2 linked regions of the Oryctolagus cuniculus genome follow. The protein of the gene in region 1 binds, or shares a complex with, the protein of each later gene. Links are inferred from orthologs where the notes say so. Each region holds a gene or a part of one and is shown on either strand. Other genes may lie near its edges. The genes, in order: RALGAPA1 and RALGAPB.

Region 1 (3,826 bases):
CTGGAGGGTGGAATGTGGACAACTTGCACCTGCAAGTTCGGTTTTAACACCATCAGGTTTACCTTACACTCCTGGGGCAGGTTCCCTTTACTTTTTCTTTTTCTAAATACACATAATTTGAGCAATTTGTTTCAGCAAAGTTTCTTCCTTCTTCCCTCCCTCTCTGCTCTGTTTGGTACTTTAAGAGAATACAGGTACACCAGGACCTAGCAGTCCATAATAAAGGGTCACAATCTCCAAATAGAAATGGCATTTAACAATGATACCACTTAAAAAAGCAAAACATTAGAAAAATATCTGGAAGCTAAACATAAATCAAAGTCCAGCACAGTGATTGTTCTGTTAATGGGTATGTCACAGCGTTAGCTGCTCAGCCGACAAGTGAGACACTGCCTTGGGAGGAAACTGTTAATGCTAAAATTGTTTCCAAGGAATTCGAGATGCTAAAAGTCCATTTACTTTGAGTGTTTTATTCTCATAACATAAATAATCTGTACACATTCTGTGTATTAACAGATTTGTGACTTTTGCCCTAACTTTACAAATGCTTAAACTTAAAACCTTACATTTGTAAAAAAAAATTGATATTTATTGAGACATAAAGATGCAATGGGAAACAATAAATAGACTACTGTCCAATTATATTTTAACTCAAAGTTTATCTTGAAATTAAGGTAAAACTACTGACACATAATTATCTAGGAAGGTAAAGAATGTAGAATAAAACTCCACACCATCAAAATATGGCAGCTTGGAGTGTGGGGGGAAACAAAAATAAATAATCCACATTAAAATATTAAGTTACAAATTATTTAAATCCAGTGTTTTCTCAAATGTACAGGAAGGAGCATGCGTGGTATGGCAGACACGAGGGCCTGAGAGGGTTAACACTGTGTTCGTGCTAAGGTGGCTACTACTGCTGGTCACTCCTGGGCTGCTGTCTCCTTAGGATTTATTGGCTGAGCCAGAGGAACGACGCAGCTTCATGGACATGCGGCTTTTGCTAGTTCGAGGAGACATTGGCGAGGCCAGGTCAGCCCCGTCTACCTGCGTGGCTGTGGGAGTTTCACTGGGTAGAACCTCTGGGTAGGAGCCTGCAGGAAACAGCAAGGACGTTAGTCCGGCACCCGTCCTCTCATCCCATCTGGAATGACCTTTCTGCTGCCGATCTGCGGCAAGGATCCCGACCCTCAGGCAGGTCTTTGGAGGGAGAGAGCAAGCCTCCAACCTGCCTGCTACAACAGCTCCCTGAGCTGCTGGCAGAGGCCATCGTATTAGCAAGAAAGCGCCAATCAGTATCTCGGGGCCAGAACCGTGGAAAAAGTAATGGGAAACAAAATCTGGGCCAGCAAGAACGGGGATCCACAGCACCATCCACATGCAGCGAAGAGCTCAAGAAGCAAGTGAGGAGAACCAATCCTCTCTCTAGGGTTCAAGGTACATAACTGAAATCAAGAGGCGGGGGTGGGGCAGCTTCAATTTTGGAACCAACAATTCCAAGAAGGAACTTAGCACTATGAGACCACTGTACATGCTGGTGTTTAAATATGGTCTTAGGAAAGAGAAAGATGAATTCCTGGGGAGGGGACAAAGATAAGAATTCTCATCTGCAAGTCAGTCAAAAAGGACAAATTGGCTCAAATTTCTTAATTTAGAAGAGCTAAACTTGGGCAGTTACAGTATTCAGGCACAGCAAGTAACTGGTACTTAGTAGAGCTAAGATTTTAAAAGAAGCAAAACAAAGAAAATTCTTTGTGTCATTTACAAAGTGGTTCTTCACCTCTGTATTTTATTTCTATGAATTACGATTCTTTACAGAATCTTGAACACCGTAAGTTTTTAAATATTTTCTAGACAAATGAGTAAGATTACATTAGAAGTAGAAAATCTGGAAACAAAACATACAATTCTGTATATGAGAGGTCATCGAACTGTTCATGGAAAAGGCATATTATGAAAAAGCTATGCACAGATATTAGTATTTTTTCTGTATGAAAATTTACAATTCCATTTTTTCACAAACTTTTTCAAGTATTTTTGTGTTTTAAGGCACTTTCATCCAGGTTTTGAGGGGCCTGAGTATATGAAAAGTTTGTGTCACAAACAAGCAAAACCCCACCCATGTTTCAAGCTTAAATTTATACACTCCCTTACTTTGGAGGGAAACTTTTGGTTTATTTGTTAGCCAGTGCAGCACTCCTCACTGATGCTTCAACCTTGGAAATAATTATGCCAGCACTTCATCTAATGAAACATCTGTGCTTAAGGTTCTAACTATTTAAAGAAAAGCAAAAATGTTCAATAAGGAGTACGGATCCTACTGTCTCCTGATGTGTGAAGCAGTTAAGGCCACGTTATGTCTGGCGTACACAGTACTAAGGGAGAAAATTTTGTGAACTCATAATCTAGGTCAACTACTTTCCTCCTCAAAGTATCTTCTACGTCTGAACTGAAATGAGCCAGCTCTTTGAAACATGAGGAGAAGGAAGTAATTCTATATGCCTTTATTCTTCCTGAAGATCTGAACTGTTTGTAGTGGATCTGTATTGGGAAATCTAAATCTTACGAACCCATGGCCCTTGACAGGGAAGCGCTGCAGAGGGATGGCGGAGGAAGGTGAAGAGCGGTGGGTGGTTCATGCTTTGTGGTAACGCACTGGGTCCCGCGGTGTGGGAGGCCTTCCCGTGGCTGTTTACCTTGAGATGGCCAATGTTTTCTAGCGGAGGCTTTGGGAGGAAGAGAACTATCACTGCCTTTCTTTCTTTGTTGTGAATGAAGAATGGAGTAGCAAGCAGAAGTGAGAAAACGAGAGAGAAGACAGGTAACAGACATGAGCGACACAATGCAGAAGTTTACAGATGTTAATCGAGAAGCGGAGAAGAATCAGGGTTTCGTTAGGAAATGTAACTGAGCATGCAGTGAGTTCCAATGGTGATGTCTGACAATGGACAGTGCTTTGTACTTACAAATGAGATACTTACCAACTAACAACACAAGTTCATATAGGAAAAAAGAAGAAAAAACGTCTATGAGAGTTTCAGTAACACTCACCTTTCTTTAAAGTGTTCACTGTACTGGTGGCATATTATCCTAACCACCCAGGAATAAAATCTCTAGCACTGAACTGTCCAGTATGGTAGCCCCAATAAATTTCATCAAACTTAATTAAAAATTCAGTTTCTCAGTCCGCTAGCCATACTTCACATGTTCGGCTGCTATACTGGGCAGTGCAGAGCATTTCTACCATCGTAGAAAGTTTTATCGGAGAGCACTTATGGTCCACCAAACTCGAAGAATATTTTTCCCAAAACCAGTTTTTGTCTCCCTTATTTCTAGTTGAGTCCCCTTTCAGTCAACTGAGAGGCCACTCGGGCTTGTCAGTGTGGGTGGTGGAAGTTATCTGTAAGTTCCCATGCACTAGCAAATGGCATTTGTGCTATATACTCAACATATGCAAACTCCACAAATAATTCACAGTGGATAGGCCTCAATTTTACATGTAAAGAATACAGTGATACCTACATGTCATTTCATCTCCTGGACCATAAATAATGCAGATTCGCTTATATTATTATATCCCTAAGGACAGAGTTCCCAGAGTACCTGTGGGCTCCCAGCTATGTATGACGTATGTGTTACTCTCTTGGAGTGCTCACACAGTGCGTCTATCTTGATGGCAGAATACATTGATCCATGTATTGCACATTGGCTATAATTAACTATTATTACAAATAATATGAATATTACTTTGGGAATCTATATGGATTATAACAGAGAACTCAGTGGGTTGTCACTTAATTATGGTTTGGACAGTGATATAAATGAT
Region 2 (3,826 bases), on another chromosome or scaffold:
GGGGCCCACGAACTTGGGCCATCTTCTGCTTTCCCAGGCCATAGCAAAGAGCTGGATCAGAAGTATAGCAGCTGGGTCTCGAACTTGCACCAATATGGGATGCCGTCACTGCAGGCGGCGGCTTTACCTGCTACACCACAGTGCTGGCCCCCACAAAGGGAAACTTTGTACTTATTAAACAGTTGCTTCTTCATCCCCCTTCCTCTATCCCTGACAACCACCAATCTGCTTTTTGTCTCTATGGATCTATGTCCTATTCTAGACATTCCGTATAAATGGGATCATGTACTATGTGATCTTTTGTGCTTGGCTTCCTTCATTTAATGTGGTTTTAAAGTTTCATGTTATAGAATATATCCTAATTTTGTTTACTTTTGTTTTTGAATAATATCCCATTGTGTGTTTGTGTATGTGTTTGTATACCACAATTTTTTTATCCATTCATCAATTGATAGGCATTTGGGCTTTCCATCTTTAGGCTGTTTATACTGTTGCTATGAACATGCATGTACATGTATTGGTTTGAATGCTAGTTTTCAGTTCTTTGGGCCGTATACCTAGAAGTGGAATTGCTGGATCATATAGCAATCTTTTTTTTAAAACACAAACAAACAAACAAAAATTCATTTATTTTAAAGGTAGAGTGACAGAGGAGTAGTGACAGAGAGATGGAGAGATCCCCAGTTGTCCACAACAGCCACAGTGATCCAGAAACCAGGAGCCAAGAAGTCCATCCAGGTCTCATGTAGCTGGCAAGGGACCCAAGTACTTGTCTTCTTAGGTGCATTTGCGATATCGAAAGTGAAGTGACTGACTAGGACTTGAACTGATATTCCAGCATGAGATGTGGGTATCCCAAATGGCAGCTTAACCCACTGCACCATCATGCCTGCCCCATGGTAATTTTTTATTTATTTATTTATTTTTTTTACAATTTTATTTATTTGAGAGAGTTACAGACAGTGAGATGGAGAGACAGACAAAAGGTCCTCCATCTGCTAGTTCACTACCCAAATCCCCATAACATCTGGAGCTGTGTTGATTCGAAGCCAGGAGCCAGGAGCTTCTTCCAGGTCTCTCATGTGAGTGCAGAGGCCTAAGGATTTGGGCCATTTTCCACTGCTTTCCCAGGCTGTAGCAGAGAGCTGGATTGGAAGAGGAGCAGTCAGGACTTGAACTGGCACCCATATGGGATGCTGGCACTGCAGGCGGAGGGTTAACCTAGTGCACCATAGTGCTGGCCCCGGTAATCTTTGTTTAATCTTTTGAGGAGCTGCTAAACTGTCTTCCACAGCTGAGTCCTTTTACATTCCCACCATCAGTGTGTGAGGGTTCCAGTTTCTCTTCATCCTCAGTAACAGCAGCAAAATGTTCAGTTACAAAACCCTCAAGACAGCCCAATTTTAAAGCAGTTAAAAGATTGGAATACACTATACCAAAGGAGCTTTACAGATAGTAAATAAGCACATGAAAAAATGCCCTATCATAATTTGTTAGGAAATGCAATTATGACCACAATGAAATGCCACATATCTGTTAGAATGACTAAAATGAAAATGACCATACCAAATGCTGGTGAGGTTGTAGAGAAGCTACTGATGGGAATGTTAAATGTAACTACCATTTTGGAAACAACTTGGCAGTTCCTTAAAATGTTAAAGATACATTCTTACCAATCATATGACCCAGTTATTCCATTCTTAGGAAATAAGAGAGCATATATCCATGCAAGGACTTGTACATAAATGTTCATACCAGCTTTATTTGTAATATCCAAATGTTCATCAACAGGTGACTGGTTAAACAAATTGTGATATATCTTGAAGTGGAATACTACTCAGCAATAAAAAGGAGCAGATAACTGACATACATGCACAAGTAGATGAATCTGAAGATAACTGTTTTGAATGAAGATGCCCAAAAAATCATACATGTGTGTATGATTTCATTTTTATAAACTTTAGAAAATGCAAACTAATCTGAGATAAGCAGTTTAGGGAGGGCAAGGAAGAGGAGACAGAGAAGACAGAAATGCCTGAGGAGATTTTGGAGTTGATAAACAGTGTTCACCCTTGATTGTGGTGATAGTTTGTTTACAGGTGGATACTTATGCCAAAAGTGATCAAATTGCACACTTTAGATATGTGCAGTTTACTGTAAGGTAATTATACCTTCAGCAGTCATGCAGAGCATAGAGCATTGCTGTGAGACTGGGTTAGGGACTTAAAAACATGGGCATGCTCCATTGCCAGCTGTTTTTTCAGTCTCTGGCAGTGATAAATATGTACACTCAATGGGTTTGGGTTTTAGGGCAGGAAAAACAATGCTAAACTGAAATACTGTTTTAGGATTTGAAAGAAATGCCACTATTTTTGTACAGTATTATAGTACATCTGAAATATTCTGGTTTTGTATATACGTAATATTTAAAAAGCAAGGCTTCCTGTGATGTATGACATTCTCAGATAGATCAAGCCTTGGTACAGATGCCTTGAAATGGGTTCAGTGGTTCCTGGCTAACTGTTTTTCTTGCCCAAATGAATATACCAGGTGAAAGTGGTGGTTGACTCAGGAGACCGGAAGCGAGCCATCAGTTCTGTGTGCAGCTACATTGTATACCAGTGTAGTCGACCAGCTCCTCTTCACTCCCGGGACCTGCACTCCATGATAGTGGCAGCTTTTCAGTGTCTCTGTGTCTGGTTGACAGAGCACCCTGATATGCTTGATGAAAAAGTGAGTTTAACTTTAAGGCATTATGTAGAAACAAAAAGGTATATTGGGAAAATGCCTTTTAAAGGAAAATATTCAGATTTAAATACTATATTATATTGCACCCTTTAAACCAAATATGCCTGTTAGATTTCAGTAGAATATTTGTCCTTGTGAGCACAACTTAAACACTCCTTATCATGCTTATATTTGGTTGCAAACTAACCCATAGAGAAGTCCTTTTGAGAGAAGTGCCTTTCAAAGACAACCCTGAATCTAACATGTCCTAAACTGTTCCATATTTAACTGAGTTACTGATACAGCTTTTTCACAGTTTACACGTCATGGTAATTTTTACAAGAATTGTCAGTGATAAGATTGAATTAAATTTAATTCTTTGAACACTCAAATTTCATTCTTCTAAAGAGAAATTGGGGGAAGGGGCTATAAATATAAAGTTCATTATATTGTGAAATTCATTTATGTTTAGATAAAATTAGAAGCTGGAGTCCTACCCCCCAAACACTACCACTGTTAATATTTTGATGGATTCCTTATCATCTCATTGAGAAGGGTATGCTACAAAAATTGATCTGCCTTTTGTGCTTCTAGGACTGCCTGAAGGAAGTTCTAGAGATTGTGGAATTGGGTATCTCAGGAAGTAAGTCCAAGAACAGTGAGCAAGAGGTCAAGTACAAAGGAGATAAAGAGCCAAACCCTGCCTCTATGAGGGTAAAGGATGCTGCTGAAGCCACCTTGACATGGTATGAAAGTGGCTGCACCAGGTTGTGTCTAGCCATCCATACTATTTTATCTCCTCCCAGATTGTTCAGTATTAAGTTAATAGCCTCTTGATGATAAATTTTCTCCAGAAATAAAATGGAAATACTCTGTTTTTATTTTTGTTTTAGACAAAAAGAAACCAGAAACTTGGAGCTGAGAGTTTGGGTCCTTGTTTTTCTGTACTAGTTGTTGTTATACCGTGTTAGAGCTGGAAAAGATCTTGGAGAGACTGACTCTACCCCCTTACTTTGATAGCCAAGTCCAGAGATGGCCATCTTACCATCTGTCTGTGATGACAACTCAGGGGTCTCTGTTCTCTACCACACTAATTTAT

What was found.
Region 2: RALGAPA1 (region 1) and RALGAPB share a complex: the UniProt entries of both Homo sapiens proteins name them as parts of the heterodimeric RalGAP1 complex. The link is inferred for Oryctolagus cuniculus from reciprocal best matches to the Homo sapiens genes RALGAPA1 and RALGAPB.

The regions. Positions count from the first base shown.
Region 1 is NC_091443.1:40,049,851-40,053,676, reverse strand, and holds part of RALGAPA1 (ral GTPase-activating protein subunit alpha-1), read right to left. Parts: exon of another isoform or gene 1,095-3,826; coding exon 946-1,094; 3' UTR 1-945. UniProt on the Homo sapiens protein: Catalytic subunit of the heterodimeric RalGAP1 complex which acts as a GTPase activator for the Ras-like small GTPases RALA and RALB.
Region 2 is NC_091442.1:20,223,668-20,227,493, reverse strand, and holds part of RALGAPB (ral GTPase-activating protein subunit beta), read left to right. Parts: intron 1-2,550; coding exon 2,551-2,733; intron 2,734-3,321; coding exon 3,322-3,473; intron 3,474-3,826. UniProt on the Homo sapiens protein: Non-catalytic subunit of the heterodimeric RalGAP1 and RalGAP2 complexes which act as GTPase activators for the Ras-like small GTPases RALA and RALB.